Cricetulus griseus: one gene and its partners. The protein of the gene in region 4 purifies or fractionates together with the protein of the main gene of each other region. This does not show direct contact. Links are inferred from orthologs where the notes say so. Each region holds a gene or a part of one and is shown on either strand. Other genes may lie near its edges.

Evidence for each region.
Region 1: the proteins of Lrrk2 (region 4) and Slc25a22 purify together in Homo sapiens (co-immunoprecipitation; 3 studies listed by IntAct, with this or other methods). This does not show direct contact. The link is inferred for Cricetulus griseus from reciprocal best matches to the Homo sapiens genes LRRK2 and SLC25A22.
Region 2: the proteins of Lrrk2 (region 4) and Emd purify together in Homo sapiens (co-immunoprecipitation; 3 studies listed by IntAct). This does not show direct contact. The link is inferred for Cricetulus griseus from reciprocal best matches to the Homo sapiens genes LRRK2 and EMD.
Region 3: the proteins of Lrrk2 (region 4) and Prdx3 purify together in Homo sapiens (co-immunoprecipitation; 3 studies listed by BioGRID and IntAct, with this or other methods). This does not show direct contact. The link is inferred for Cricetulus griseus from reciprocal best matches to the Homo sapiens genes LRRK2 and PRDX3.
Region 5: the proteins of Lrrk2 (region 4) and Dnm1l purify together in Homo sapiens (co-immunoprecipitation; 6 studies listed by BioGRID and IntAct, with this or other methods). This does not show direct contact. The link is inferred for Cricetulus griseus from reciprocal best matches to the Homo sapiens genes LRRK2 and DNM1L.
Region 6: the proteins of Lrrk2 (region 4) and Dnaja1 purify together in Homo sapiens (co-immunoprecipitation; 4 studies listed by BioGRID and IntAct, with this or other methods). This does not show direct contact. The link is inferred for Cricetulus griseus from reciprocal best matches to the Homo sapiens genes LRRK2 and DNAJA1.
Region 7: the proteins of Lrrk2 (region 4) and Myo1c purify together in Homo sapiens (affinity purification with mass spectrometry; 3 studies listed by BioGRID and IntAct, with this or other methods). This does not show direct contact. The link is inferred for Cricetulus griseus from reciprocal best matches to the Homo sapiens genes LRRK2 and MYO1C.

What each region holds. Positions count from the first base shown.
Region 1 is NC_048596.1:59,745,634-59,750,408, reverse strand, and holds the start of Slc25a22 (mitochondrial glutamate carrier 1), read right to left. Parts: upstream 2,900-4,775; 5' UTR 2,768-2,899; exon of another isoform or gene 2,754-2,767; intron 1,947-2,753; exon of another isoform or gene 1,925-1,946; intron 579-1,924; exon of another isoform or gene 489-578; intron 1-488. Other genes in the region: Pidd1 (p53-induced death domain-containing protein 1), read right to left, coding at 3,999-4,257, 4,561-4,760. UniProt on the Homo sapiens protein: Mitochondrial glutamate/H(+) symporter. Responsible for the transport of glutamate from the cytosol into the mitochondrial matrix with the concomitant import of a proton. Plays a role in the control of glucose-stimulated insulin secretion.
Region 2 is NC_048604.1:1,460,858-1,465,354, forward strand, and holds the start of Emd (emerin), read right to left. Parts: upstream 3,234-4,497; 5' UTR 3,097-3,233; intron 1-3,096. UniProt on the Homo sapiens protein: Stabilizes and promotes the formation of a nuclear actin cortical network. Stimulates actin polymerization in vitro by binding and stabilizing the pointed end of growing filaments. Inhibits beta-catenin activity by preventing its accumulation in the nucleus.
Region 3 is NC_048596.1:448,202-452,214, reverse strand, and holds part of Prdx3 (thioredoxin-dependent peroxide reductase, mitochondrial), read right to left. Parts: intron 3,459-4,013; coding exon 3,317-3,458; intron 2,275-3,316; coding exon 2,139-2,274; intron 1-2,138. UniProt on the Homo sapiens protein: Thiol-specific peroxidase that catalyzes the reduction of hydrogen peroxide and organic hydroperoxides to water and alcohols, respectively. Plays a role in cell protection against oxidative stress by detoxifying peroxides.
Region 4 is NC_048595.1:388,262,645-388,266,657, reverse strand, and holds part of Lrrk2 (leucine-rich repeat serine/threonine-protein kinase 2), read right to left. Parts: intron 3,552-4,013; coding exon 3,301-3,551; intron 3,025-3,300; coding exon 2,876-3,024; intron 316-2,875; coding exon 222-315; intron 1-221. UniProt on the Homo sapiens protein: Serine/threonine-protein kinase which phosphorylates a broad range of proteins involved in multiple processes such as neuronal plasticity, innate immunity, autophagy, and vesicle trafficking.
Region 5 is NC_048597.1:73,166,794-73,170,559, forward strand, and holds part of Dnm1l (dynamin-1-like protein), read left to right. Parts: intron 1-235; coding exon 236-292; intron 293-920; coding exon 921-998; intron 999-1,277; coding exon 1,278-1,310; intron 1,311-2,861; coding exon 2,862-3,038; intron 3,039-3,186; coding exon 3,187-3,296; intron 3,297-3,766. UniProt on the Homo sapiens protein: Functions in mitochondrial and peroxisomal division.
Region 6 is NC_048595.1:101,875,691-101,880,301, forward strand, and holds the start of Dnaja1 (dnaJ homolog subfamily A member 1), read right to left. Parts: upstream 3,224-4,611; 5' UTR 3,086-3,223; intron 2,717-3,085; exon of another isoform or gene 2,701-2,716; intron 2,012-2,700; 5' UTR 2,002-2,011; coding exon 1,870-2,001; intron 1,740-1,869; coding exon 1,562-1,739; intron 1-1,561.
Region 7 is NC_048600.1:89,129,191-89,133,203, forward strand, and holds part of Myo1c (unconventional myosin-Ic), read left to right. Parts: intron 1-1; coding exon 2-96; intron 97-171; coding exon 172-218; intron 219-319; coding exon 320-400; intron 401-3,133; coding exon 3,134-3,239; intron 3,240-3,328; coding exon 3,329-3,446; intron 3,447-3,947; coding exon 3,948-4,013.

The DNA of each region.
Region 1 (4,775 bases), on a different chromosome or scaffold from region 4:
GACCCCCCACCCACACTGAGCTGGTTGCCCACCTTCCTGTCCACTTCCCAAGGGAAGTGTTTCACTCCTAACAGACACAGGAGCCTGGGGATAAGGATTTAGGGAAGACGGGACAGGAATAAATGGCATGAGGAGGGAAGCGGTGGGATGTCTGTCTCCCAAGGCATCTGTGGCCGGTACACCCAACTCCCTTGGGGTGGGAGAAGGGCCCCTTCTATTAGCAGCGAGGATGGGAATCCTTTCGGGGGGGGGAGGGCTCCCCTGTGGGACACAATCATATAAACTAAGCTGGGGTGGGTTCCAGGAGTCCTGGTCCTCCCCTGTGTATCTCCCCGAGTCCTCAGAGGTCAGCTGTCACACACAGGTTAGTGTCCTCAGAGCTGCCACCTGGGGTCACAGACTTGTCTCACACTAAAGAGCCCCCACTGGACTTATGACCCTGAACCTGCTACCCACCTCTCCCCATACAAGCTTTGGGTTTTGCTCACCCTGAGTGCACCCCAGAGTGCGCACAACTGCTCCTCCACAGCTCCAGGGCAAGCAAGCTCACCGAGGAGATAAAGAGGCTGGCCAGGGGGAGGAGGCGAAAGGCTACAGGGATTGGCCATGGGGCGGGGCGGGGCGGGCCTGGGGGGAGGACTTTCTCTTTCACTTTGGGCTAGATGATAATCTCTGCAGCTTTGGGGAAAGGCAGAGAGGGGTGAGACAACTTCTGGGGGTCTGGGGCTGGGCCCAGCCTGGGAGCTAAAGAAGGGGTACAGACTAACCATGAGAACCATAGGGACCCCAGTCCCAGGCCACCAAGTTCTGAGGCCACTCAGTAGGTTTCCGTCTGAAGCCTGTGAGACAAGCACAGATCTGTCTATAGCCCTGGAACCCCAGGCATGGGACACCCTGTATGGACCTGTGAACATGTGCCCTTGAGAAATGGGTCAACACTCACTGTGCTGTGAGACCTGGGTGTACCCATCAGGGAACCTTAGGTTAGGTTACAAGAAGGTATACCTGTTCTCTGGAAAGAGCAAGGAAGGGATGCTTAACTATCAAAGGCCACTGCCAAGCACAGGCCCTGCTCACCTGGCAGGTCCAGAGGACATGGGGGCGGTACTCCAGGTGCCCTCTGCCCTCTGCCCCACCTCTGCACACCAGGGGCCCCAGTGGAAGAGTCCCTCCTAAGCCTGGTATGTGACAAAGGCCTGACCTCTGAACTGTAGTCTGATTTCTCCCTCCCCATACCATGCTCCAAATGTCAACTAGCTACAGCAGCTCTCCCTGCTGTCCCTTATCCATCATTCCCTTTGCCTCTGCCCTCAGAACAGTGAGCCTGGTGTTCCTCAGATGCTATCTCTCCCCACATCTGGAATCTGGGCACCTGGGTGTTGTTTGTGTCTGAGAAGTCAGACTATCTGAAGGTGGTAGGGAAGAGACAGGTAGGCACTGAGATCCCATGGGCTGAGTCAGCCCTGCACCCAGAACTAAACAAAACAGGCAAACACCAGACAGGAAAGTTGCTTAGCTGAGAATGAGGGGCTCTGCTGCCTGGAACAACAGGCAAGGGAACCCTCTGGGCTGTTCTCTCTCTCCCACCCCAGGGGTTGTTTTTGCCCCCCAACACACACACACACACACACACACACACACAGATTTCTCTGTGTAACCATGTCTGTCCTACAACTCCCTCTGTAGACCAGGCTTGGCCTCAAACTCAGATCTTCCTGCCTCTGCTTGGGTTAAAGGGCTTGTTACCATAGAAACATGACGGTACAGTCTAACCGCTGAGGATCCAGAGCTTTCTGCCTAGCTGGCCCAGGTTTCCCCAGTCAGGCCACAGGCCCACTGAGAAACATGAGTTTAGCATACAGAGGCTAACAGCTTCATACAGCTTTCCCCCACATTTCCATGAATGAAGCTGCCCATTTCCTACCTAAAAGAAAAGCAGCCGGGCGGTGGTGGCACTCATAGTCAGCACTTGGGAGACAGAGGCAGGCGGATCTCAGCTGAGTTCGAAGTCAGCCTGGTCTTCATAGAGAGTTCCAGGACAGCCAGTGCCACACACAGACCCCGTCTCTCAAAATAAAGAAGAGGAGAGAGGAGAGAGAGGAGAGAGAGGAGAGAGAGAGAGAGAGAGAGAGAGAGAGAGAGAGAGAGAGAGAGAGAGAGAGAGAGAGACAGACAAGAGAGAGCTGGGGCTGAGCCCGCCACCAGCGTGCCCCTCCCCCAATAGTCTCCCTCACCCCTTCCTCTTAGGGAGGTTAGCTTTGCCTTGCTAGCTAGAAGGGCTACAAAGAGGGCTCCACTGCGAGATGCCCTAGCGGGACCTACAAAGAAAAACCAGGGATGGGGCACATCCTCTGCTCCATGACAGATCATACCCTTTACCCCACGGTCCGGGCTGAGCTGCCCTCGCTATCTCCAGCCAGACGACACGGACTCTGACTATGAACGTGCCCACGCACGTCCACCGGGTTCCCACGTGAGCGGCGCCCCCACCCCGGCAAAAAAAAAAAAAAAAAACCACTTCAGTTCTGGGGTTTCCACACGGCTGGGACACGTGTGCAGGGAGCGCGCCCGGCAGCGCCGGGACCGAGCACGGCCTTCCGAAACACCCGAGAGACAGCCGGTTAAGGTACCCGCTGGTCCATGCTCTGCCGGAGACGCAGTATCTGAACAGATGTCACCCCTCCCAGCCACCAACACCACCCCTTTTCTCCCCGCAAGCCATCCAGATTTGGGTGGGCGCCACAGAAACTGACCGGCTAGTACTCACCACACGGCCGCCGCCGGGATCGCCTCCCCGCTGTGCCGCGCGCCCGGCCTGCACCTAAGCTGGGAGGCGCGTCTCTCGGAGGCGCGCCCGCTCCGCCCTAAACCCTGGCTGCCGTCGGCTCCCCCTCCCGGCAGGCGTGGCCACTGCCACCAGCCACAGCCTCAGGCCACCCTTGAGGGGGTGTGGGCTTTCTGGAGTATCCCTAGGCCCTCTCTTTGGTCTTCCCACCTCAAGCCGGGATGGAGACCAAGAACAGGTGGCGGGAAACCGTGTATGGTGTGGCCTGGGGGAGGTTTGGTCCCCAGATGCTCCTTAGACACCGCCCACGAGATCCCGGTGGGCAGAGCTACGCACAGTTCTGTCACAGATGACTTTGTATCCACACCTGCTGCAGGGTTACTATGTAGAATGGCTCCTCCCCCTCCCTGAGGAAGACACACTAGGGTCTAGAAATGGCTCACTGGGTAAAGGTGTTTGCAACCAAGCCTGATGACCCTGCAGAATAACCTCTGCAAAGTTATCCTCTGATACATAGACACACAATAAATAGCTTTTATTTTATGAATATGGATGTTTTCCCTGCATGCATGTCTGTGCACCATGTGTGTCTGGTGCTGTGGAAACCAGATGAGGGTGTCTGATCCTCTGGAACTTGAGTTACAAGACAGTTGTGAGCCCCCATGTGGGTGCTGGGAATTGAAACCCGGTCCCCTGGAAGAGCAGCCAGTGCTGTCTCTCCAGGTCTTCTCTGCACTCTTTTTTTTTTTTTTTTTTTTTTTTTTGGTTTTTCGAGACAGGGTTTCTCTGTGTAGCTTTGGAGCCTATCCTGGCACTCGCTCTGGAGACCAGGCTGGCCTTGAACTCACAGAGATCCGCCTGCCTCTGCCTCCCGAATGCTGGGATTAAAGGCGTGCGCCACCAACGCCCAGCCCTCCACCCTCATCTTAACGGGAGGACTTAGCATGGTAGGAAGAGTGGGCACACCCGGGGGCTAGGCTTTAGATCACCTAGGCACCCCTCCCCTCTATTCTATAAGTAAATCAATCTCTGAGGTTGTACTGGGAGTTGGAGGCTAGCTTGGGCTAGACAGTAAGACCTGTCTCAAAATAAACCAAGCTTTCAAAACCCTAAGGAGTTTTTGTATGCTGGAGCACTGTACCACACAGGTGAGGTAGAAGGATAGGGGAGGGGTTCTTCCCACTGGCCAACACAAGTCAAAGGCCAGCTGAGCTTAGGCCTGGGCAGACTCTGGGGTCTGTGAAGCCGAGGTGCCAGGCACAGTAGAGTCCTCAGGGGCCAGCCCTGTGCGCCGGATGCTGTCCTGATACTTGTGGCGGCCAAGCTCCAAGATGGCTCGCACTTCTTCAGCCACATCCTGCCTGTCACTCTGTTCCAGGGCCTGTACCAAGTGTCCCACAGCCCCAGGCTGTCCAGCCTGGCGCTCAGCCCAGGAGAAGAGCATGTGGCGGATCTGCCCATCCAGGTCATCCCTTGGAGCAGAAAAGAGTGGTGATGAAGGTGTTCTGCCCCGGACCACACACCACATACAGAGCCTCACTTTTCAAAACCGACCGAGTTCTTTGCTCCTTGGGCTAGTGACCAAACCTTCCTTTTCCAGGCTGGCATTTGCTCCACCTCCATCATCTTGAAAGCTTTCAGCTAGTGTGTGTGTGGGGGTGTGTGTGTGTGGGGTGGTGGTGGTGGTGGTATGTCTGTGTGTGTGTGTGTGTGTGGGGTTGGTCCTGAAGCTAAGGCTAGGAGTCAGAAGGCTTACTAGAATTCATGAGGCTCACCTGAATTCATGCCGGATACGCTGTAGCACACGGTAGGGCATGCCTAGGTTCAGGGCCACGGCTGGCCAGTCAGGACCTAGTCTCGAGGCCACACTCAGCAGGTTGCTTTGAGTCAGGAAACCAGTTTCTGCATCACCCAGGTTCAGAGGCATCAGGGAGAAGTCAGTCCCCTGCCCACTTCCCTGGGGCCCCCGAAGTCTCTGTCAGAAGGCAAG
Region 2 (4,497 bases), on a different chromosome or scaffold from region 4:
TTACGAAGAGACAGGAGAACCTTGGGCAGGAGTGTGTGTAAGTGAGAGACAGAGTAGGGCAGAGAGAGACATTCTGTCCATTCAGAGGCTGCTTCATGAATATTTTTTAGTTTTGGCAAAATCAGATTTCCCAGCATTTCCCTCCCCCTATGCTGGCCCCTCTCCCAGAGGCCTCTGCATACAGAGTGATTGCTCAGTACTACCCTATGCCCCCCCTACAGAATCAAGTTGCTTCCTTATGAGGTCAAGGAATTTTAGGTTTGCCTTCTCCCTAAGGATCACCCTCTGCACCTGCCTCAGCACACTGCCTCTTAATCCCCTCACTATCCCACTATAAAATCCTATCACAGATGTTATCAGGAATCTGAACTGTGGTTTTCTTGCACAAACCTGGAGCTTAAGTCTAGTCCATTGCAGTGTAACTCCCTTCTCTACCATTCAGCAGAAGAATCAAGATCCCAGAGTCTAAAGAGGCTTTTGCAATAGCCCCAAATTGAGTGATTCATGGAAATATTCTCCACAGGAAGTACCTGGTCATCTAGGTGCTACAAAAGTCTGGCCTCAGACCTCACTCAGGATTTGTCAGAGGTGCCAGAAGGATGTATGCAGGGCATTCTGTAGGTCTCTCGGAAGTTCTTCCTGGGAGGGAGTAGCTATTGGCAGGTGTGGCTATTTGGGAAAAAAAATCTTGGAAATGACCCTTTTTTTTGAGACAGGGTTTCTCTGTGTAGCTTCGTAAACCAGGCTGGTCTCGAACTCACAGAGATCTGCCTGCCTCTGCCTCCTGAGTCCTGGGACTAAAGGCATGGGCCACCACCGCCTGGCTATATGTGACCCATTCTAAGAATAAGAAAATTTTGTGAGTCCTGTAATCCCACTCAGCATTTAGGATTTTGAGTTAGGAGAATTGAAAGTTCAAGGCCTGCATGAGCTACAAGGTGAATTCAAGGCTACCTGGGTAACATAGTGGAGGCTTGGGAGGTAGTTATCTCAGTGGTAGAGTATTTGGCTGGCATGCATTAAATTCTGAATTCAGTCCAGACCCCCCCCCACCAGTTTTAAGGAAAAGTCACCATGAAAACATTTATTCAACACAGGAAGAAAATTTTGTTTGTTTTTTGAGACAGGGTTTCTCTTTGTAGCTCTGGCTGTCCTGGCAGTCACTCTGTAGACCAGGCTGGCCTCAAACTCAGAGATCTGCCTGCCTCTGATTCCTGAGTGCTGGGATTAAAGGCATGAACCACCACCGACCAGCAAGAAAATGTTTTTAATTCATGATTTTTACCAAGGAACAGTTAGTGCTGTGTTAACTAATCTTCATAGTTGATAGACCTGAAAGAAACTGGAATGCCGGGTGTTGGTGGCACACACCATTGGTCCCAGCACTCGGGAGGCAGAGGCAGGTGGATCTCTGTGAGTTCAAGAGCAGCCTGGTCTACAAGAGCTAGTTCAAGGACAGCCTGCAAAGCCACAGAGAAACCATGTCTCCAAAAACCAAAAAAGAAAAAACAAGAAAAGAAAAAGAAATTGGAGACCCTTCTTGGGTTTCTTGGATGTGTATGCATTGGGAGGGGCAGTAAAGAAAGTTCAAATTCAGTTTGTATGTGTGTGGGGGATGTCTTTGAAATGCAGCTCACAGTCACTACCTCCCCCATGCCCCTTCCATCTGCCTACCGGTTGATCTGATTACCATGCCTGTGGGTAAATGGGTTTATCCTCCGGAAAGACAATCATCTCCATGTACTCTAGTGCCACCTCACAAACTTGAAATCAAGCCACTAATTTAGCAATTTATGATAATTCATTGGCTTCCCTAGCAGAGGTCTCCTGCTAGACAGAACAGTGAGGGATCTTGATCTTATTGGGAGGCCAGAATGTGAAATGTCATTGCCAGTGGAGCCAACAAAGGTAGCACTGGATGCATAGTGCCTGGAGGGGACCCCAGCACTTTGCTCTTCAAGTTACACTATAGATTACTAAATTGACTCTGGAGATGTGATCAAACTCCCCCTCACTGCTCTTTCATATTCTTTCTTTTCTCCCTTTTATCTTACTATATAGCATGTGCCACCTTCTCTTTTTGATAATATTGAGTAGGAAAACAAATTAAATAGGCCTGTTATTCCAACATTTATGAAACAGAAATTGGGAGGGGGATTGCCACTTCAAAGCCCAGTCTGGGTGCTACATAGTGATTTCCAGATCAGCCTGAGCTGCAGAGTGAGTCCTAGTCTACACACACACACACACACACACACACACACACACACACACACACATCAGAAAAGGAAAATCTAATTTGCAATTATCTATTTCAATTTCATGTTATGTGCACACTGGCATAATGCAAATGTAGCTCATATTGGGGTTGCAGGTAAAATGAATAACAAAATGTTAAAAATGGCATTGCTTTATGTGTCCTTTCTGTAGGAAATGACATTTGAGTTGAATCTGAAACTACCAGGAAATGGGCACATAGAACAGGAAGAGAGAGCTTGACAATATTAGGTAATGGCTGTGCCTACCAACTTCACAGATATTTGGCACTTTGTACCACACTGCACACCCCCAGGCTTTAAGACTTCACCTGATTGCTTTGAGAATTCAATGTATTTTTGTTGTTTGCTCACAGCCAACAGCTGCACCTAGCAGGAACCAAATCAATGATAGCTAGCTACAAGGGCTTGTTCATTACAGTGCTCAGGGACCCATTGGGGCCTTAGGAACGAACGGTTGGTGCTCACTGCAATTACCTGTTTCATCTCTTCCCATGGAACAAGACCTGACCGGTGTGGCCAAACCAGGCTTGGGCAGAGGCAGAAGGCTGTGACTGTGGGCAATTCCCCTGTATAGGTGGCTTTGGAGCGGGGCCTTCTTTCCAGCCAGTAAGCATTTGGCTCCCTTGTACTCATCTAGCCTATTAAAGGTTGGGCCTAAACACAGGTTTTGCAGACCCCCCCCCCCCCCGGAAGCCTGGCGGCCCTCACGGAGCAGTGAGCTCATTCTGAGGGATGGCGTCGCCTGTCAGCCAGGGCACTTGAGCTCGTGGCGCGCCCCCGCATCCCCTCCCCGCCCCCGGCTCCAGGGCGATTTTACCAATTAAGGCTTTCTTGCCGGGACGGGCTCTGCCGGGCCCCGCGCGGGGCGGACGTGGGGCGGGGATGCAGCCAACAAGAAGGCGGGCAGCAGCGGCTCATTCGCGTGGAGGCGCGCGGCGCGCAGCGGACGCCAGGGGAGTTCTGAGGCCTCTGGCTCGAGCGCAGAGAGCTGGGCGCCACCCCGCGGTTGGAGGGACAGCAGGTGAGGGCTCTGTAATTAGCTCCACACCGGATAGTAGTCAGATAGTGGGTGCGACGCTCGGGAGCTGGGAAAGGTTTGGAAAGCAAGCAGAGAGGCCGAGGCCAGGCAGTTTGGGTGTGGACTCAGGTCCGAGGCATCGTGTTAGTGTCCAGACTTGCATAGTTTACCACAAACTTATGTTTGTGCTCAGGAATCTGTGAGCTCGAGGTCATGGGGGGGGGGTCCCTGAAAGAGGGGCTGGTATCTGAGTGTTTGGCAGGAGATGGGTACAGGCGTGGGTACCCATTAATTGGTCTTTGTGTGACTCTCTGGGGGTGGGAGGGAGGTCTTTTGAGACTAGTATCTTGATTGGGATAAGGGTGAGTGGCAACTTAGAAGGACACTTTTCAGCCAATGGCAAGGGTGGATATGAGTCCACCCTCATATGAATACATATGAGATGATGAGTCCCCTGCTAGTTTGGACATAGGGAGCTGATTTCGGGGCTGTGGTAGGGGTATAGCGAGACAGATTTCCAGCCTGGATCTTGGGTCCTGTCTCAGGTTGGTTCTGAGTATGACGGTCATTGCCAGCCAGAACATAAGCACCAAGGTTCCCAGATCCCAGGAAAGAAAAAGTGGGTGAAACCCACACACAGTCTCTTGCAGCTCCAAGGAGTCTGGCCAAGGTGGAAAGTTCAGGAAATCAATTCTCTATCTTGTCACACCTGAATTTGCCTTACAGGCACTGGTTTTACTTCAGGGATTTTCTGCTTCCTTCCCTCCTGGCGCCCCCTGGCTACACAAGTCTAGAAAAGCTCTTCAGGGTCCTAGTATAGCTGGTGGGCTTGGGTCTATAGTTCCCTATGGGAGGGCCTGGCCTAGGGTCTGATGGTGGGGGTGGGAGAGGTGGGCGGGGTGTGCCTAACATCGAAGAATCTACTCCAAATAAGGGAAAATATGAAAGAGCTGGATTTTGGCTTCCTGGAGCTGCCCCTGGATCTTTGAGATGGAGCGACATCTGGTGGTGGCACTGTGTCCACTCTAAGGCCAAGAACTCTCCCCCCTCCCCCACCCCTACCCCCGAAATAGCCAAATCATAGGGCTGGAAGCTGGGACTCCCAACTTCTGTGTGATCCATTACTATGATTCCGTCTTCCTTGTTTCCTGCCAATTAGTGAACTCAGGTGATCCAGACAAATGGCACACAGTGGAAAAT
Region 3 (4,013 bases), on a different chromosome or scaffold from region 4:
AAATGGGACCAGTTTTCTCAGTGATCCGAAAAGGTCTGAAACATGTACCAATGTTTAAAACTAACAGCAATGGAGGTAAATAATAGCAAATGCACACAAGGGAATTCTGTTTAACTTCCCTCCTGCAACCTGCCTAAAGTACATACAATTATATCTGACATTATGTTTTTTAAAATTTACTTTAATTTTATGTGTTTGAGTGTTTTACCTGCATACCACAGGCATGCAGTGTCTGAAGAGGTCAGGAGAGGGCATCGGATCCCCTGGAATTGAAAACAGTTGTAAGCTCCCATGTGGATGCTGGAAACTGAAGCTGGGTCCTCTTGAAGAACAGCAGTGGTCTTAACTGATGAGCCATCTCTCCAGTGCCCATTTCCTTTTATTAACTGACGTGTATGTGTGTGGAGGTGAGAGGGCAACTGTGGAACTCCTTCACTTTATGTGGGCTCCAGTGAAAGAATTCAGGTTGTAATGTTTGCCCAGCAAGCACTTTACCTGCTGAGCCACCTCAATGGCCCATTTCCATTATTTTACAGACGAGGAAACTGAAGCTCAAAAAGAGTACTTTTTCTTCAGGACACTGCTACAGTCTGATTTACCTTTCCTTTTGAGACAGGGTCTCATGTAGCCAGACTGGCCTCTCATTTATTACGTAGCCAATGATGATCTGGAACGCTGGGATCACAGGCTATGCTAACCCAACCAGTTTATATGGTACTGGGGACCGAACCCAAGGCTTCTTGCCCATTAAGGAAAAGCTCTGCGCATACCCTTCTCTCTTTTTCCAATTGTTAAAGCAGCTGTTGAGATGAAAACTAATTTCTCAAACATAATAATGAAGGTGTGACAAATTACTCAAGTCACTAGTGTTAGTCCTGTGTCAGACCTAGTGGAATTCTGATTGTTTTTCCTAGCATATTTCTAGGCAACATCATAAAGAACAGTCCAGCAAGCTACTATAGGTTCAGAGTACAGGCCTAAGAGGAGGTAATAGACCGAAGCCATGCCCCCTGTCCCACTGAGCCTGTCTCCATTACTATTTGAACCTTGGAAAATATACATGGAATGAGTAGTAAAGATACATACAGTGTCCAGGGAATTATTACTACCATAGTTTACAGACTGCTGATGGGCAAGGATCTACAAACAGCCTACTTAAGGAGGATATGGCTCACCTGGTAAACAGTTTATCTAGCAGGCATGAAGCCCTGGATTTGATCCCCAGGAAGGCATAAACCAGGTTCTGATCCTAGCACTTGGAAGGTGGAGGCTGCAGGATCAGAAGTTTAGGTCATCTGGGCTAATACATCCAGTTAAGAGGCCAGCCTGAAACACATGAGACACTGGTTTTGAAAGGAAGAAGGGGGTGGCGGCGGGTGAGGCAAGAAACTCACTTCAGACTGGCTATGCTTTGACAACCTCTAGGCTTTGTCTTAAATCTCTTCTGTTAGTATAGGGGACAGGGGTAGCTGGGGAATGAGGAAGAGACACTGGTCAATGATTAGTTATATAAGAAAAATAAGTTTTGTTCTTCTGTACACAATAGATGACTATAGTTAGAACATATTATATTTTTTAAACTAGCTAAAAGAAGATTATTATTATTAATTTTTGTTTTGTTTTTTGGAGACGGGTTTTTCTGTGGTTTTGGAGGCTGTCCTGGAACTAGCTCTTGTAGACCAGGCTAGTCACTAAACTCACAGAGATCTGACTGCCTCTGCCTCCCGAATGCTGGGATTAAAGGTGTGTGCCACCACTGCCTGGCTAGGGATTTTTGTTTGAGACAGGGTCTCACCACGTGGCTCTGGCTGCCCTGGAATTTACTAGGTAGACCACGTTAGCTTAAAACTTACAAAGATCCTCCTGCCTCTGCCTTCTGAGTACTGGGATTAAAGTTATGAACCAGCCTGCCTAGTTAAAAAAGGATTTTGAATATCACAGCCACAAAGAAATGATTGAGTAAACAGTGCTGAATAGCCTGATTTGATACTTGCACAACACACAAGTATCAAAATATCACACTGTATCTCACAAATACACACTGTTTTACTGTGTGGTCTATATTATTTATGATTTAGAAATGAAACCAAAGAAGAATGAAATAAAACCAAGGAAAGGTGACTTGTCAACCAACCTACCTTCCTTGGTGTATTGATCCAGGCAAGATGGCTAAAGTGGGAATCCACCGAAACTGCAACTACTTCACAGTTTACATCATGAAATTCATTGGCTTTGTCACTGAAAGCAACGATTTCTGTAGGACACACAAATGTGCTTGGGAGAAAAAGAAAGTTTCATCAGATTATGCAAAGACAAAATTTAAGACATAAACATAAGTTGTCTAAAAACTAAGCTGATTTGCTTAGGGAGCGAAATGGGCTGGGTTGGTGGCACACACCTTTAATCCCAGAACTCAGAAGTAGAGGCAGGAGGATATTTGTCTGTTCAGGCCAGCTTGGTCTACAAATAGAGACAATGCCCACTTCCCCAGTCCCCCCCCCCCAAAAAAAGAGTAAGCTTCCTTCCTTCTTGTTGCTGGGCACCGGGAGGCAGAGGCAGGCAGACCTTTGTGAATTTGATGTCAGCCTGGTCTACAGTGAGTTCCAAGACAGCCAGGGTTATGTAGAGATGTCCTGCCTCAATCAATCAATCAATCAATCAATCTGCATGGGGCTGGGGGGGGGGGTAATGTGTTTGAAGACTTAAAAAGAAAACCTGTACTTAAAACAAAGCTGCTTTATGAAAAACTCATTTCTTATACTACTTTCTCATTTTCCAACCAGACTGGTAAAAAGTTTAAACCGGTTTAGAGAACCATTAATCAAAAGCATGTAATACAGAACTGTATTAAAGGTTCAGAGTGCTAGGCGTTGGTGGCACATACCTTTAATCCCAGCACTGGGCAGGCAGAGACAGGAGGATCTCTTGTGAGTTTGAAGCCAGCCTGGTCTACAGAGTGAGTTCCAGGACAGACTCCAAAGCAATACAGAGAAACCCTGTCTCGAAAAAGACATTTAAAAAAACAAAAAACAAAACACAAAAGGTTGAGAGCATAAAGTGATAAAGCGCTTGCCTAGCATGAACAAGGCCTGGGTTTTGATCCCCAGGACCACCAGAAAAACTACAGAATCATATTAAAACTCTTCCATTAGAAGTAAAGTCATTTTTTCCCATTATGCTCATCACAGGAGCCACATACAGCCAAGACCAGGGGACAAAAATCAGAGAATCTTCCTCTTCACTAGAAGAGGAATTTCATTGTGGGTTATAAACCAACACCAGCTCTCAGGACATAAAGCATTATAGAATCACTTACAAATCCAAAGGGTAGAAGAAAAGCACCAAGTATTTCCCCTTAAAGTCTTCAAGACTCAGCTCTTTGAACTCTCCATTGACAACAGCTGTGCCCTTAAAATAGGGTGCATGCTGTGTGACAGCAGGGGTGTGGAATGAGGAACCTAGAAAAGACCACATACCTGTCTGTAGCTTGTCATCCACCACATCAAGCACCGCATGACTTTATTTAAACTCGTTTCATTGAAACTAATCAAATAAATTTATTATTTATCACGACTGGTGATATGTTATTAATACAACTCAGTGAGACGGCTTACTTTAATTGTGTATCTTAAGTACAGCAATTTTCCCTTTAGTACAGGTCTAAATTAAACACAAATCCAACTCAGTGGTAGGGAGAAGTGTCCGTGTGATGAAAGACACCCCATGGTATTGATCCTCAGAAGCCATCTACCCCTTTTCATTTTTAAAAACCTTTTCTCTCTTTTAGAGTATCATAAACTTAGAGCTTACCACATAGGCTAGCTGGACATATTACCAAGTGTATACTACCATGTCTCGTTATATATGGGTTCTCAAGGTCAAACCTGAGTCCTTGTGCTAGGTTCCTGACCTATTTAGCTATCATTCCAGGCCTGAAGAAAAATTTTAAAAAAAGAATGAATAACAGAAAGAAGAAATGAAATGCCCGGGGAACTAAGAGGAGGAAGGCAAAA
Region 4 (4,013 bases):
TAATTATTCTTGTTTTTCCTACACAAAGCATGTGTAAGTTACTGCAAAGGTTGAAGAGATGGATCTTTTCTCTAGTAAAAATCAAACCCTCATATAAAAAATAAAACACTGAAGTAGGTTTATAAATGCATGATATATGTGCTCATTTCAAATCATTGCTTTACTTCTAAAAGTTATGCCACAACTCATTCAGCTTCAGAAGTAAATAACAATGAACTTACTGCGGAAGAATGAAAATTGCTTCTGGAATGCATGTGAAACCATTTTGAGATAATTTTAGGCTTGTTATGGAAAAAGGTAAGGCAGGCATCGCAGCTAAGGAAATAAAACAATATAATGGATGTTTACAATCATCTTAACTAGATTTCTGATAAATTCAGTAAGAGCAGTTGCCAGTAACATATCATTTGTGCACGTCACATTTTGTACTAACTGCATAAAACAATTTTACTTCATAATAGTACTCCACTAAATAATAAGATAAAACTGCCTATGTTCATAAATTGGCAGAATTATTTATTGCTACAATGACCATCCTACCAAAAGCAATTGCAGATTCAATGCAATACCAATCAAGATCCCTGCAGCATTCTTTACAGAAATAGAAAACAAAACAAAAACCAAAACCCTACCATTCATATATAACCATAAATAACTCCAGATAGCTAAATCAATAGGGGAAATGCAAGGGGGGGTTACCATTCTAGATAAAACATATGACACAGTTATAGTACTAAAAACTGCATTGTCCTGGCACAAAAACAGACATGTAGCTCAATGGAACAAAACAGAAAACCCAACTGTGAGTGCACATAACCACTGCCATCTAATATTTGATGAAAATGCCCAAAATTCACACTGGATAAAAGAGAGCATCTTCAACAAGTGGTGGTTGGAAAACAGGATGTCTACATGTAGAAGAATGAAATTAGGTCTGTATCTATGATCTTGAACAATATGGATAGGGAGAGGATATTTAAATGAAGTAATTCCACATAGGATGATAATACCTCCCCTAAGAGCCATGGACTATCGAACCTCAGAAGTGAGAAACCCCTCTCAAGTTGTTGGTTGGTATAGTCCAGGAGACTCCCAAACAAATATAGGCTGTCACTGTTGCCTTCCTGATACTGAAGACATCAAGTACTTTGGACACAGGACTTGAAGGATTCCAGCTGGATCTGACACGAAAGCGCTGTCCTTAAGAACTAGCTTTCATAGCAGCAGAAGGTAAAATGCAGTCAGTCAAGGGAGGAATAATAGTACTATCTAGCTGTGATGCCTACAAACAAAAATGAACAACATGGCAAGCTATCGATAAATGTTTAATAATGGCACAGACATCTTGATGGTAACTGCAAGCTGTCTAATTGGACATAGGATCTGTTCAACAGAAGGAAAATCAAGCCTGGTCCTATAAACCTAGTCAATCAAATGAGACAACTGGACTTACGGATCTTAGAGGATTTTCCTAAACCAGTATAATCCCTAACTGCTTTCTATACACGTATCCTTATACCCACAGATAGGTACAGCTCTCACCTCTCATCAAAGAGGATTCTTTTCTCTTGAGACAGGGGTCATCACAGAAATTCACAACTAGGTAAAATACAGATTAAACATTGAACACGACTACCTAGTCCCATTGATGCATCTACAACACAACCCCTGTGCTTAAGGCTCAGGGAATACCTCAGAAGCAAAGGCAGAGAGAGAGATCATAAGGGCCAGAGGTCCAGGAACTCTGCTGCAGAATTGTGTCTTCCAGAAACAGTTGAGGAGCCATACCCATGAAATCTCAACAACATGGCTGCCTGAACAGCACCTGAACAATTCTAAAACCAGTTAACATTCCAACATGGATGAGAGAAATTTCACCCACATATGAAGAGCTACAATAAATTAACAACCACTGAGACAGGGATAGTAATCCTTCTTAACTAGCTACCCAATACCAAGTGGTCAGTCCTAAAAACATACATTTTATACAAGAAACACAAAAAAGATTCAGAGGGTTGCATTTATACATTTCTTAGTGTATTTATGGTAATAAAATAACTTAAGAATAAGAAGGCTATGAATTTTAGAGAAAGTGGGAGGTGTTGGAGGAAGGAGAAAGATGGGGAAATAAATGATTCAATTATATTTAAAAATCTATTCTGCCATGAAACAGGATTAAGATTTTTTTCTGCATGAAGACAGCCATGGAAATGAAAAATGAACAAAAGTGTGATTATTATTTGCAAGCCATGTGACTGTAGTTTTTCCTATGATAATAGTAATATGCTAATGTTTTTAAACTATAGACATCTTTGAAAACAAAACTTTACACAGCTTTAGTTTTACAGATAATGAGGGTGAAGAGGACCCAGTTCCTGTTCCCCATCCTGCCTCCCCACACAGCTTTTCTCAACTATCAAGTCAGTGTTAGTTCAGCTGTAACAGGGGCCAGTACTGACACAGCAGTGTCACCATTCACGGTTTAGTTTAAGGTCATTCATTCCCTGTGTTCTGACAAACATGGCATCTGTCCATCATTGCTGTCATATAGGCACCATGTATTCTTCCCTTTCTCTTCTCTAGCCCATGATAATTATGGCACTTTTTACTGGCACCATACTTTTCCCTTCTTCAGGCTGTTTTATAAGTGGAATCAAGCTAGTGTGACATTCCTTCGCTGAAGCATGCATCTACATCCTTTTCTCCATGCTTTTCCCTGGCTTGATGGCTCAGTTCATCATCAGTCTGCCAATGTGTTTTGTAGAACTGCGGCACATTTTAACTGAAATACCACCAGTAACTTCCCTTCTAAAACACATCTATGTGCCTCTTCCTTGAAGGCCTGGTAAGGATGAAGTCAGCACACCATACTTACCAAGAGAATTCATTCGGGCACTGAAACTTTCCACTTTTGGACAAGCCTCAAGGAAGTCTTCAGGTAGGGACAGAATGTGGTTTTTACTAAGATTTAAAATCTTCAGTTCCTTCAGGCTCAAGGGAGAACAAATCCCAGATATTTTATTTCTAGTTGTAAAACACAAAACTGAGGATTAAAATGTGAATGCTTGTATAATATAAAGGTAATGAAACCAATTCACCCCCCAAGTACAGCTTTAAGGCATATTTAAGCCTCAGAGTTAACTGTGAAGATTCCAACCAGCAAAATTGCCTGAATTACCAATTGCCTCCACCTTTGCCACGTTCCCTTTAAACTCATTGCTGTAGAAATATCACCATGTTTTCTTGCCCATGCTTGTTCAGTGGGATGTAAGTGTGTTGTCTTATTGAGTGAGTTCTTACCCTTCCAGTAGGAGCTGTTCCAGTTTCTCTGCCACTTGGGCGAGGTTCTCCGGGATGGAAGAGAGCTGGTTGTATGACAGGTTAAGGTGTTTGAGGCTGGGACACATCACCAGGGGGTCAAAAACAACTGTTGGTCCAATGTCATTTCGAGAGGCATCTAGGTTGGTGATGCATGTCATTTTCAACAAGAAGGAGGGAAATGAGGTGAATTTGTTGCTGTGCAAATCCAAATGTGTCAAACACTTCAGAGTCTGAGAAGATAAAATTCAAATATTTCAAACTGAATGGTGGAGAAATAACTTCAGCACTATTTTTCCTTTTCATACCCTGACTAACTAGCATCATTGGGTTTTGTTCTTAAAAATTAAAACCACAATCCTCAATGTAACTTCAGTATACTGACTAGGCCAACAATCCCTGCTGTAGCATGAGTTAATGTTACGATAAATCTTTCCGACCAAGCTGCCTGAGCCTCACTGCCACGTGGGCAGTCTCTGCCAGCAGCCGAGTTCTGCCCGCCGCGTGGATGGACAAAATAATACAGAGACATAATAAGTACAAAGCTGCTTGGCCAATGTCTAGCATTGCTTCTAGATCTGCTAGCTTCTAGAAGATCTCATCTGCTAGCTCAGTCTTAATTATCATAAATCTACATATGTTTTAAGACTTATCTTTATAGAGGATGCTTTTCGCTGGCGTCCTCTCTTGCTGGT
Region 5 (3,766 bases), on a different chromosome or scaffold from region 4:
TATCCCTGAGCAATTGTGTTTGGGAAGAAAACAAACAAGCATAGGGAAGCTTTAGGTTTCTAGAGTTGTTTTGTTTGTTTTTTTTTTTTTAATATAATCAATTATGGCATAAGTTCCCAAGAGTAATAGGATAAATCTGTAAGTTACTACACACTTTTCAACTAAGATGAACATGTTTTAGTAGACCTCTATCTCAATATTCTGATAATTATAAAAACTTGGTTACATTTTATAGGAACAAAGAAGAAACAGGCTAGCAAGAGAACTACCTTCAGCTGTATCACGAGACAAGGTAAATAAATAAAACTGTTTTTATGTTATATTCTCCACACCTCAGGGGAGAGCTCAGCCTCAGCCAGGTGTATTTCTCTGTGAGAATATTTTACTTCCTCTGTCTCTGATGGTTTAAGGATGGTGTATAAAGTTTTAAAAAGCTTTGAATAATTTAAAAATAAAGGTGGCTTTTAAGCATCAAGGATTCTTTATAAGATTCAGATTCTTTATAAGATTCAGATTTGTTCAATAATGATTTTATCATAAGGGCTTTGGGAGAGGGACGAAAACTGTGTATGTAGTAGGTGTTAATTCTTTGCAGCAACTTTCAGCAGTTACACCTCTTATCTTGGGTTCCTTGTCAGAAAAGCTCTCATTAAGTGCTGGACACCCTACCCCACCCCGCAAGGAGCAGCAAGCAGCATTAGATTCGGGTTTTCTTAAGTAAGTTTTCATTTGCAGAAAAGCTTGACAAGGGACAGTGCTGTAGGAAATGAAGCAGAGTATAGACTTGTATCTCCATGGGTACTTTTGTTTTTTTTAATTACTTTACTATTTTGTTTATAGAGGGAAAATTTTGTCTATAAAATGTTTCCAAATGCATTTGGCATCCTTGATTTTTTTCCCCCCTGCATTTTTGCCTTTAGTCTTCTAAAGTTCCAAGTGCTTTGGCACCTGCCTCCCAGGAGCCCTCCCCTGCTGCTTCTGCCGAGGCTGATGGCAAGGTCTGTTCTCATTCCTAATCTAAGCCTGCATGCCAAGTTTGGAGACAGTATGCTGAATAAAATGATATTAATATGGGGCATTGTGTTAGACTATTTTAGCCTGTCCAGATTTTTAAATTGTATAGCAAAGTATATATCCGAGTATTGTTGACATGCTTTCCTTTGCTTGCTATATAGAAGATATACATAGAAGAAATGATCTTCTACTTTTAAACTTTCAAGCTATTACTGTTTAAATCTTGCTTGTTAAATTGCATGTTTTAACATATCTTTTAACAGTTAATTCAGGACAGCAGAAGAGAAACTAAAAATGTGAGTCTCTTGCTTTAGAATGAAAATGTTGGTGCCTTTGGTTCTCACTAAAACACTCTTCACATTCATCAAAAAACCTGTTCGTACAGTGACCTCCATTTCTTGTCTGTGTTATGGTCTTAATGTTCCTTTTATCTAACCCATGTAAGGTGGCATTAGTCTAGCTTTTACACTGTTTTAACTGTTATTAACAATAGCCATTCCTACATCTGCTACCTGCAAAATTAGCTTCCAGTATCTTCTTTTGGTAGAGATTAAGATTTCAGAGCTGGAAATGGTCTGAGCTCTAGTCTGTTCAGTGCTTTCCTGCGTTTCCCATAATTGTCTGTATTAACTCTAAATATAGAATTTCACTTGTGCTTTCAAAGCTTAAGCAAATTCACAACCTGTGAGAGATTAAAGCTTGTCGATTCCTTAAAAAAAAGCTTGTCAATTCTTGATAATCGTTTTTCACTAAAGATCATGGGTAGAAAACTCAGACCTATTTCTTTTCTACTCTTTCTTTCACCGCTTATTCTCTAAGTGTAAGTTTCTCATCCTGAGCCTTATGGACATCTCTCTCTGTCAGCCATAGTCTCCAGGGAACCATTCTAATCATTGCACAAGTTTTATTTCATTCATGGTTCACTTTCCTTATGATTCCATTTCATTTATAATTCATGTCTGTTTAACAAACACTAAAAATTAATTACTCACTAACACATATAGATATCACTTATTTTTATATTTTTGATATTGTGACAGATTTTTCAAATTTGGATGATTCCCCAAACTGCTTATTTTCATACAAGTACCATAAGTCTTCCATTACATTTATATGACCCAATTCTTTTACATTTAGAAGATCTTAAAGATCTAAAAACATCTCTTAAATGTTGGTGTATTTTGTTTTTCTCATATTGTTTCTTTTAGAAGTCAAGAGTCAGAACCCAGAAAATAAGGTTCCAGAAGCAACTGTGGTGAAAGGGAGCAATGGCTTCTCACTGACTCCTTTCTCGGAATGAGGGATGGGGGAGCATATGTTGTGCTCATGTTGCGTTTCACATTTTAGGTAGCTTCTTGATGTGATAGTTGGGTGTGAGGATGTAGTGTTCTTTCTCTTAGTAAAGAGGTTTACTTTTTCTTTTGACTCTCAGGGATATAAACTAGTTTTAGAAATATGTAGAGGCTCACAGTTCTGTAAGCTCATATTCAATGGCTAGTGTTGAAGATTACTTTGGTGAGAAGCAACCGAGCAGCAGTTCTGTTTCCTTGTGTGTGCTTTTAATGTAGTGTTTGAGGAGTGGAGAAAGATGCAACATTTTGAAAAGTCAGTAAATGACAAATAAAAAGTAATTATATGGGACCTGAATTGGCTATTGGCTTGCAGGCAGCTTCAAACAGAACCTCACAGGTTTCTGGTGACAAATGCCATTATTATCTCTGACTTCATTATCTATTTGAATAAATTCCAGATAGGTACTACCTGTGTGTTCTGGATTACCATCCAACCAAATGAACTTCATTTGTTGTCAGATATACAGTGTATAGATTTGGCACTTGTGTTTTCAGGTTGTATCTGTAGGAGGTGGGATTGGAGATGGTGGTCAGGAACCAGCAACAGGCAACTGGAGAGGAATGCTGAAAACTTCAAAAGCTGAAGAATTGCTTGCTGAAGAAAAATCAAAACCAATCCCAATTATGCCAGCAAGTCCACAGAAAGGCCATGCTGTCAATTTGCTGGATGTGGTAAGTCATTAACAATTTGATTTAAATCTACAGACAAACGGAAGTCGTAGCAGAAAAAATTAAAGTCTCAAAATATTTTAACTTTTAAATATTAAATGTTGCCATTTCAAAATGGCACAGAAGTAATATTTTCCCCTTATCCTTTTAGCCAGTTCCAGTTGCACGAAAACTGTCTGCCCGTGAACAGCGAGATTGTGAGGTTATTGAAAGACTCATCAAATCCTATTTTCTAATTGTCAGAAAGAATATTCAAGACAGGTCAGTATTACTTAATATATAAATACTGCTGGATGAGTTCATGATCTGTTTTAATAAATCTTACATGAAACAATTTAGATTCTAAATCTAAACTGTGGTAACAAGACTTATTAGTCTGTTAACATGGAATGATTAGGGTATTATATATCAGCTGGAAAAAAATTTAATAATAAGAGGATCAAGTAATAGTGATGTGTGTCTATAATTACAGGTATCGAAAGACTTAGCCTCAAGGATAATGATCACAGATATAAGGCCAGCCTGAGATGCCCTCCTACCCCAGTCTCCAAATAAAATAATTAGAAAAGGGTAGCAGTGTGATTCCATGCTATGGTATAGAATTAGTTTAGTATAGTATTCATGAGGCATTGGATTCAATCCCCAGTGCTCTGAAAAAATTGAAAACAAATATAGTCGACATGGTTACATTTTATTACCTTATTCAAAATAAAGCACACCCTTTGCCAGGA
Region 6 (4,611 bases), about 290 Mb from region 4:
CTAAGCATTAAGCAACATGGCCAGTTACTTCATCCAAACAGTACATTCTTTCTAATCAAGATTGGCTAGAGAAGCCAATATTGAGACACTACTGAAACAATTCCTACTTCTGTTTCAATAGTTTACTGCCAGGCTAGAACTGGTTGTTTCAAATGACAAATTTCTTATGCTTTTTGTAATAGAACAGAAAACTTTAATGATGGGCGTATCATGTGTTCAATATAGCAACTACTAGTCACAATTTAAGTGTGGTGACTACCACAGCTGGAGAGAATATCCACCCTCCCTCCCTTAAGTTAATCTTAATTTAAAGACTCACATCTGGCTAGTGACTACAAAGGAATGCCACATGTAATTAATTTACCTATGGCAATAGGAGGAGGAGGTTGAGATCACACAAGGATAATCAGGCTATGGAAATAAAATTACCCTCTATGGTTAATAAGTTCCTAGCCAGTGATCCTTCCACTAGGACTTTATCCATCACCAAATGGCACTGCCTGGTGGCTAACAACAGTTTCAATCCTTTCTGACCATCATACCTAAAGGAACATTTACTCTTTTAAGTGAGATGTTAAGTATCATATCCTTTTGTTTCTAGCTTTACTTTAGATTTCTACTATCACAAAAAGAACATGTAAGCAGGTTCTTCCAAGTTGAAAGTTGCCCATTTCTTAACTTTGTATACAGAGTACAGAAAAGGAAAAACAAAGCTTCTGGAAACTGACCAAGTATACTTTCCAAAGCAGCAGCAACAAAAACCCTCATATTAAAATAAGCCAAAAGTTAGTAGCTCATACTATCCTTATGGTTCACAACAGATTTTTTTTAATTTTAATTTTTGTGCATACATGTTTGTATGAAAGCCCAGAGGTCAGAAGAGGTTATCAGATCCTCTTGAGCGGGAGTTACAGGCAGTAGTGAGCCATGCACTGAAATCTGGATCTTCTGCAAAGAGTACAGTATTCTTAACCACTGAGCCACTTTTCAGGGCCACAACATTCATTTCCAGTAAATTCTTGTAAAAACACAGTAAACAAAAATGAAGTACTATTGACCTCCAATGCTATCTTCCCAAGAAGTCTGTCTAGCTCAGAGACAACTTTTTTGTTAAAACATTAAATGCATATAAACTGAGTTAGCAAGCTAAAGTAAGATTAAACAGGCAGCAGGTTATCTGGAGGCAATGAGCTGTTTTCAGTCTTGGCTTGCTATGTTTCAGTTTTCTCAACTCTTCTTTAACTGATAAAGGCCATTACACTTAACCATTTGTGTTTGTTCTAGGGGCATGATGTGTAAGGGCTTAGAAGCCCAGGTTGCCATGCTGTTATCTTACTGTTTGGGTATCTGTGGATGGGAGATACCCACTAGATTGGCTTAGCTATTTTGATTACATAAAAATCTCAACTATCTAAATTTCTTTTTTAAAAATCTCAATTTTAAATGACACCAGAAATCAGAGGCATCATACCAATATGTAAACAAGCACTGAAGGTAGTAAATTCAGTTTTTCAGTAGCAGCCATTTCATTCTGCTGCAGGTAAGCTGTACTTTTTCTTACCTCTCCGTTCTCTTTGCATCCTCCCTCCTCCTCCAAAGAACATGTCAAAGATATCCATGGGTGAGCCAAAACCACCACCTGCTCCGCCCTCTTTAATGGCCTGTTCTCCTCCTTTATCATATAATTCCCTTTTTTTGGAATCAGCAAGAACTTCATAAGCTTGAGAAATCTGTTTAAACTGTTTCAGAAAAAGAAATCCCATTAGAAATAACTGTCACACGGCACAGCCACTGTATTACAACCTTGACTTTCGGGCACCAGCAGTACACACATGGCAACACTGCTGAACTGTTCGAGAATGTACTTGCCTTTTCTCCTTCATTTGGATTCTTATCAGGGTGGTACTTCAAGGCTAATTTTCTATATGCCTTCTTCAGTTCTTCCTGGGTGGCATTGGGTTTGACCCCCAAAACATCATAGTAAGTGGTTTCTTTCACCATCTTTCACAGCCTGAAATCAGAAAAACGGGGAGCTTTAAACCAGCTTTTAGTGCTGTGCAGAAGCGCCACCTGCCTCTGCCTCCTGAGAGCCGGGTTCAAGGTGTGAGCCACCATGACCGGCTTTTAATTGGTAGTTTTTAGCAAACTACCAGAACTAGAGCAATCTGTTCTTTGCCGTATAAAGAACACTGCCTTCGCTAACTTTAAAGCTATCAATTCCTGATATGATCTGGCTGAAAATTCTAACAGACTAAATATAAACGTAAATTGCGGGGAACTCGAAAGCCTTTCTAGCAGCTGGTTCCTACTCTGCCGCACTAACACATGTGTGATGGGGCTCCTTCCGGTTTCCTTTCCCCACAGGTTGTGCTAGTAACCCAAAGCAGCACTGGTAGGTTCTGTCCATTGGTTAGTACATTAGCACTGCCTTTGTACATCTGATAAAGGCCCTCACTCGCCGGAAAAGGACAGTGGACTCCCGGGGGTGGAGGAGTGGCTTATGAGACCAGCTCCGGGGAGCAGGTGCCCCCGGCCCCGTCGCCATCCTGATCCTGCTCGCCGCTTACCCACTCTCGTCCCTCAGGCCCGCCAAGCTGACTCGCCCTCTGGATTTCCCCCCAGCACCTGGCGCCTACAGTTAAGGTTTCCTTCCTTTCTCCCTCCCACCCGGATCGAAAAGGCGGAGGGGGAAGGCCGGACCTCAACAAAGAGAGGGAGGAGAGCCAGGAGAAGAAGCACAAGCCGCAGCCTCCGCCCGGCTCCTCCCGCAGCCCCTCACCCCTGCCTCGGTCCGCGCGTGCGCAGCGCTGCCCACCCGGCGCGGGCGGCGGGGAGAAAGGGGTGCGCACCGACAGGAGTCTGAGGCGGGCGCCGAGTTGGCTCGGGCCTTGGGCCTCCTCGCGGCGTACAGACGGTCGGGGAGGGCGCCGGGCATCCCGGCGGCCTTCCGAAGCCGGATTCCGGCTCAGGGAGCCCGCAGCCCCTGCCCACGCGGGGCCAACCGCCTCCGGCTGCGGCTCCCCTCGGCTATCTGGCGCCCAGGCCGCACGTCGCGGCCGAGGAAGGCCCGAGGGCCGAGACTCACCGGTGAGCGGGCCGGTGCCGGAGAGCGGAAAGAGGAGCGTAGCACAACGCAGTTGGGGCAGACGCTGCTCCTCCACCTCCCACGGAGCGTTCTGGAAAGTTCCGCCCGGCCCGCCGCAGCCGACCTCTTTTGTAGCCGAGCCCGGGCGCGTCACTCGCCGGAAGTCCCGCCCCACGCCGCTGCCGCCGCCCCTCGGTTACCTGGGCAACGGCGCGGGGGCGCTGGGGTTGGGAGTGGCCGTGCCCAAGGGCCTTGTGGGGGTGGACTCAGGCCCGGGTTCCGAGACTCGTGGAATCTTCTAGAGGCCTTTCTTTACTGTGAGGGCCCAGAGTGCGGAAGTCTTGAAGTGCAGAGGTTATGTATGCCGCAGGCGCTTCGCCGAAGGGGACCTGCCGGAACCCAACCCCAACCCTAACCCCACCCGGAGCCTAATTTTTTGCAGCCCCTTATTTCTGAGCCCTGCAGGCAAGAAATGCTGAGCCAGACCGGCCTAGTCGCCAGACCAACCTTGCAGGCTTTGAATCTGGTGGTTTCACCCAAGTGCACTTCCGTGTGAGAGCTTTCTGGGCGAGCCCAGGCTTCAAATCCTTAAGTCTCCAATGCCTCAGGCCGAGGGAACCTGGGGCTGCAGCAAACAGGGAATGCTTTATGTAAATTGAGGGCAGTGGATTCTTTTCTAGTCAATCTCCCACTACGTTTGACTGCAGAGTAGCAACAAAAAAGAAAATTTCTTTAGCTAATTGTTTTAATTTTCTGACCATCTTTAGGTCTAGTCAGCGAATCAAAATCTGCAGTTGGCAAAGTGAACCTTAGGCCTTCAAAGGACAGAATGAAAAAATGGAGTGTTTTTTTCTTATTCAGTAACCCAGTAGACGTATCAAACAAAGCAGCTGGAGGTGCAAGCTTGGGAAAGTAGAGTTGACATATTTTATAAAGATTTACTTTCAATCTTGTGTGTCTGTGTAGGTGCCCAAGGAAGTCAGAGGCATGGAGTCTGTTCAGGTTACTTTTATACAGAGACTCGTATATTTTGTTTGGATTTTTTATTTTTATATTTACTGTATGTGTATGAGTGTTTGGTTTATATGTGTGTATGTGCACCACATGCATGCCTAGTGCCCCTGGAGGTCAGGATAGGGAGTGGGATCCCAGGTAATTGGAATTACAGGCTGTTGTGAGCCACCTGGTGCTTTTAACTGATAAGCCATCTCTCTCTACCCTCCTTGGCTTTGTTTTTTCAGAAAGGGTCTTGCCACATTATAGACCAGGGTAGCCTAGTACTCTCTGTAGCCAAAGCTGGCCTCAAACTCTGAACTTCTCAGCCTCCAGGCAGTTGTGAAGACTAATACATGCTCTTAACCACACCACTGAGCCTCCTGCTTAGAATTTTGTTGGATGTTGAACAAAGCAAATTACAAGAGAAGTCACAAAATGTAGCTCAGCACTTGTACAAAACGCAGTTGAGCACATTTCCTAACGGACAAAGAAAGCACTGGAAGCCTAGGTGTGTGGAATGTGATGCTTTA
Region 7 (4,013 bases), on a different chromosome or scaffold from region 4:
GGCACAAGCTTGCTGACCAGAAGACCAGGAAATCCCTAGGCAGAGGGGAGTTCCGCCTTCTTCACTATGCTGGAGAGGTGACCTACAGTGTGACTGGTGAGAATCCTGACACTGGGTCCCATGGGGCAAGGAGGGGGCACTCCGTCACCTTTCATCTGTTCTCCCCTTCAGGGTTTCTGGATAAAAACAATGACCTTCTCTTCCGGAACCTGAAGGAGGTGAGGAAGACTCAGGCAGGCTGAAGTGGGTTGGGTACCCACCGCTCTGTGTGCATCTTTGGCTTTGTGCTCAACCCTGTGACCCCTCTTCTGCCTCACAGACCATGTGCAGCTCGATGAACCCCATCATGAGCCAGTGCTTTGACAGGAATGAGCTCAGTGACAAGAAGCGGCCAGAAACGGTGCGGAGACTATGACACTGGAGTGGTGTGTGTGTGCCTGAGTGCAGATCACAGCCTACGTGGCACTGTGACTGTGAGTGTGTTTAACACCCATGTGCACATCCATGGGTGTCTGCAGGAGGCTGCTCTTGGAACTGTCTTTGCCTATTTTTCCCCCCACCCTAGTGTGTGTGTGATATGCTGTGGCGTGAGAAAGGTCAGAAGACAACTTACTGGAGTCAGTTTTCTCTTTCCACCACATTAAGTCTCAGGGATCAAACTCAGGATGTCAGACTTGCCAGGAAGTGTCATTGCCCACTGAGCCACCTCCCTGGCCCTTCTTTGTCTGTTTCTAAGTGCATACCTGTGTGTCCACTTTTCTCCATATGTAGACTGTTGTGTGTATCTACCTGCATTTCTCTGTATTGGTACCCACAGCACCCCAGCCTGCGTGGGCACTTGTGTTATTGCCTAGTCAGCAGATATCTCTCAGCTCTGAGGAAACAGATAGATGCTCTCACAGCCAGGTGCATGGATGCTTTGGGAACCGTAGAGCGGGAGCAGTCTGCCTGAGGGGGTGGAGAGGTAGGCGTCTAGGACGGCTCCGAGGCAAAGGAAGCATTTGAGGTGAGAGTCTGAGTGCTTGGCAGGTGGACCCGTAGGAGGGTGCTGGAGGCCGCAAGAGATCAGTACATACAAGCAGAGGCCAAGGGAAGCTAGGCAGTTGAAAAGACCCATGTAGCAGACAGTGGTGCCACATGCAGGGGACCTTCAGCCAGCTAGGGCCAGAGGTGCAGATACTGGGCTGAGCCAGAAGAGGTCATCACACCTCCAGGTCAAGAGGGAGAGAGGACTGGAGTACTTCCAGCAGGCTCAGAGACATTGTGGACTTCCCCAGCCAGGATCCTGCCTCTGCTGTCCTGTCTCTGTCCTCCCCATCTTCTGCCTGAGCCTCCTCCTCTTCCAGCCAGTGTTAGCAGACTTTCTTTGGGCCACCAACTAGTTCCCTAATAATGACACGGAGATTTATTATTGATTATGAGTGTTCGGCCTTACCTTAAGCTTGTTTCTTGCTAGCGCTTTGTCTGCATTTTGCCTCAGGGCTTTTTACTTTTTTTTTTTTTTTTCATTCATTTCACTGCTTCCTCCACATCTGGCTGGCTTGTAGCTGGCTGGCTGACTCTCCAACTAGCCCCAGGCATCTCCTCCCTCTCTTTCTCCTTTCTCTCTTCTCTCCTCAAGCCTAGATTCTTCCTCTTAATTTTCTCTGCCCCTGAGCCCCACCTATCCCTCCTCTGCCTAGCTATTGGCAATCAGCTTTTTATTAGACCACTTAGGTGCCTTAGGCAGACAAAGCAACACAGCTTTACATCATTAAACAAATGCAGCATAAACAAATGTAACACACCTTTACATAGTTAAAGTGATATTCTGCAGCATAAACATATGTAACACAGCTTTATATAGGTTTTTCTTTAAATAATTTGTTTAACTTTATTTTATGTGCATTGGCATAAAGGTGTTAGATCCCAGCACTTGGGAGGCAGAGACAGACGGATCTCTGTGAGTTCGAGGCCAGCCTGGTCTATAAGTGCTAGTTCCAGGACAGCCTCCAAAGCCACAGAGAAACCCTGTCTCAATGCCCCCCCCCAAAAAAAAAGTGTTAGATCCCCTAGAACTAGAGTTGCACACAGTTATAAGCTGCCATGTGGGTGCTGGGAATTGAACCGGGGTCCTCTAGAACAACAGTGTTCTTGACCACTGTATCATCTCTCTAGTCCCCACGTCTTTATATAGTTAATTATTCCACAACAAACCAGTATCTCCCTACTCAGGATACCTATCTATACACCCTCCCCTACCCCTACTCTGTAACTTGCCTCTGGTTTCTGTATCCAGTGATGGCCCCAAGTGGACCCTTTCGTGTCCAGCCTCCTTTTCTTTTCCTGAGTTGGGGCAGAGATCACTCTCCACCTAGTCCCACAGGCCAGGGACTTTTCCAGCTGGGTGATACTGATTTCTATTGCCTGAATACATCTCAACTCCCTCTCCTTTGCCCTTATAACTACTGTTCCTTGTCATCCCTGTTATAGGTCCTTTGAACCAGTGAACCTCTCCCAAGGTTTCCGGCTCTCCACCAGCCCCTACCAATCCATCTTCCACATAAATGCTGTAGAAATAATCTAACACAGATCTCATTGCCACTCCCTTGCTCCACATTCTTCATTGACTGTTTCCCTAAAGATAAAATCTAGTCTCGCCAGTGTAAACTCTTCACTGATATACAGCCTCTGCGTTCCTTAAATCCTTGCAAGGATCATAGCTCCCTGTGTGTCAAGCCTTTGCCATCTGCCTGGACTGCCTTTCTCTCCTGCTGTCTCCTACTGACATAATTTCACTTTAGGGTCATTTCTAGATCTTCCCCAGTGCACTTTACCTCAGACTGATCAATTCTCTCAAAAATAAGGGCTGTGTGTGGGTATCTCAGTGGTGGAACTCTATCCTAACACACATAAGGTCCTGACTTTGTTCTTCAGCACTAGGAAGAAGGAAAAGAAAAAAAAAAGGGGGGGTGGTGGTGGCATTGCCAGGATAACTGAACAGGAGAGCTGGGTTTCTAAGCTGAGGTCTCTAACTGGCTGAAAGGAAGTGGGGTGAGGCAGGGGTGATGGGAGGAAGGTAGGGCAATCTGTATGGACATGACTGGCCTCAGCTCAGCCCCAGCCAACCTCCTATGCCCCCTTGGCTCACCAGGTTGCCACGCAGTTCAAGATGAGCCTCCTACAGCTAGTGGAGATCCTGAAGTCTAAGGAGCCTGCCTATATCCGCTGCATCAAGCCAAATGATGCCAAACAGCCTGGTGGGTTTTTCTGGCCCCACGCACGAGCAGTGAGCTATCACTGCCTCTCAGTGAAAGCCTGAGGACCGTCTTCGTTATCTTCCTCTCAGGTCGCTTTGATGAGGTGCTTATCCGACACCAGGTCAAGTACCTGGGACTGATGGAGAATCTGCGAGTGCGTAGAGCTGGCTTTGCCTATCGACGCAAATATGAGGCTTTCCTACAGAGGTAGGTGGGGTCAGCCCACCAGGAATGGGTAAGGTGGGAGGATGAGAACCTCCCGGAACCTTCAAGGGAGGAGGGGCATTCATTGCTCAGCTGCTCTGGGACCCAGGTCAGGAACCATTTTATACTATGGACCTGATGTTATGTTGGAAAAGAAGATACAAGGCACACACACACACAGCCCCACCCTTCTGAAGCCCCTAGTGAGAAGCATATTGGCAGGCTGCCACTAGAGACTGTGGTGACAAAAGCTCAGAGAAGGTGTTGTGGTTTTGTAATTATTCAGAAGACAGGACCTGAGCCAACCGGGATATGAATCCCATCTCTTCCTTAGGCAGATGAAATTACTTCAGCTCCCCCATCTTTAAAATGGGGACCCTTGGGCATGTGGATCACGTACCAGTGAGTGGGAGCACCTATAGACACCCGGCAAAGCAGAGGGGCCTCGAGAGCAGACTCTGGCTTAGGTTTGCCTGAGTACATTCCTGCTCTTCCCATCCCCAGGTACAAGTCACTGTGTCCAGAGACATGGCCCACGTGGGCAGGACGGCCCCAGGATGGTGTGGCAGT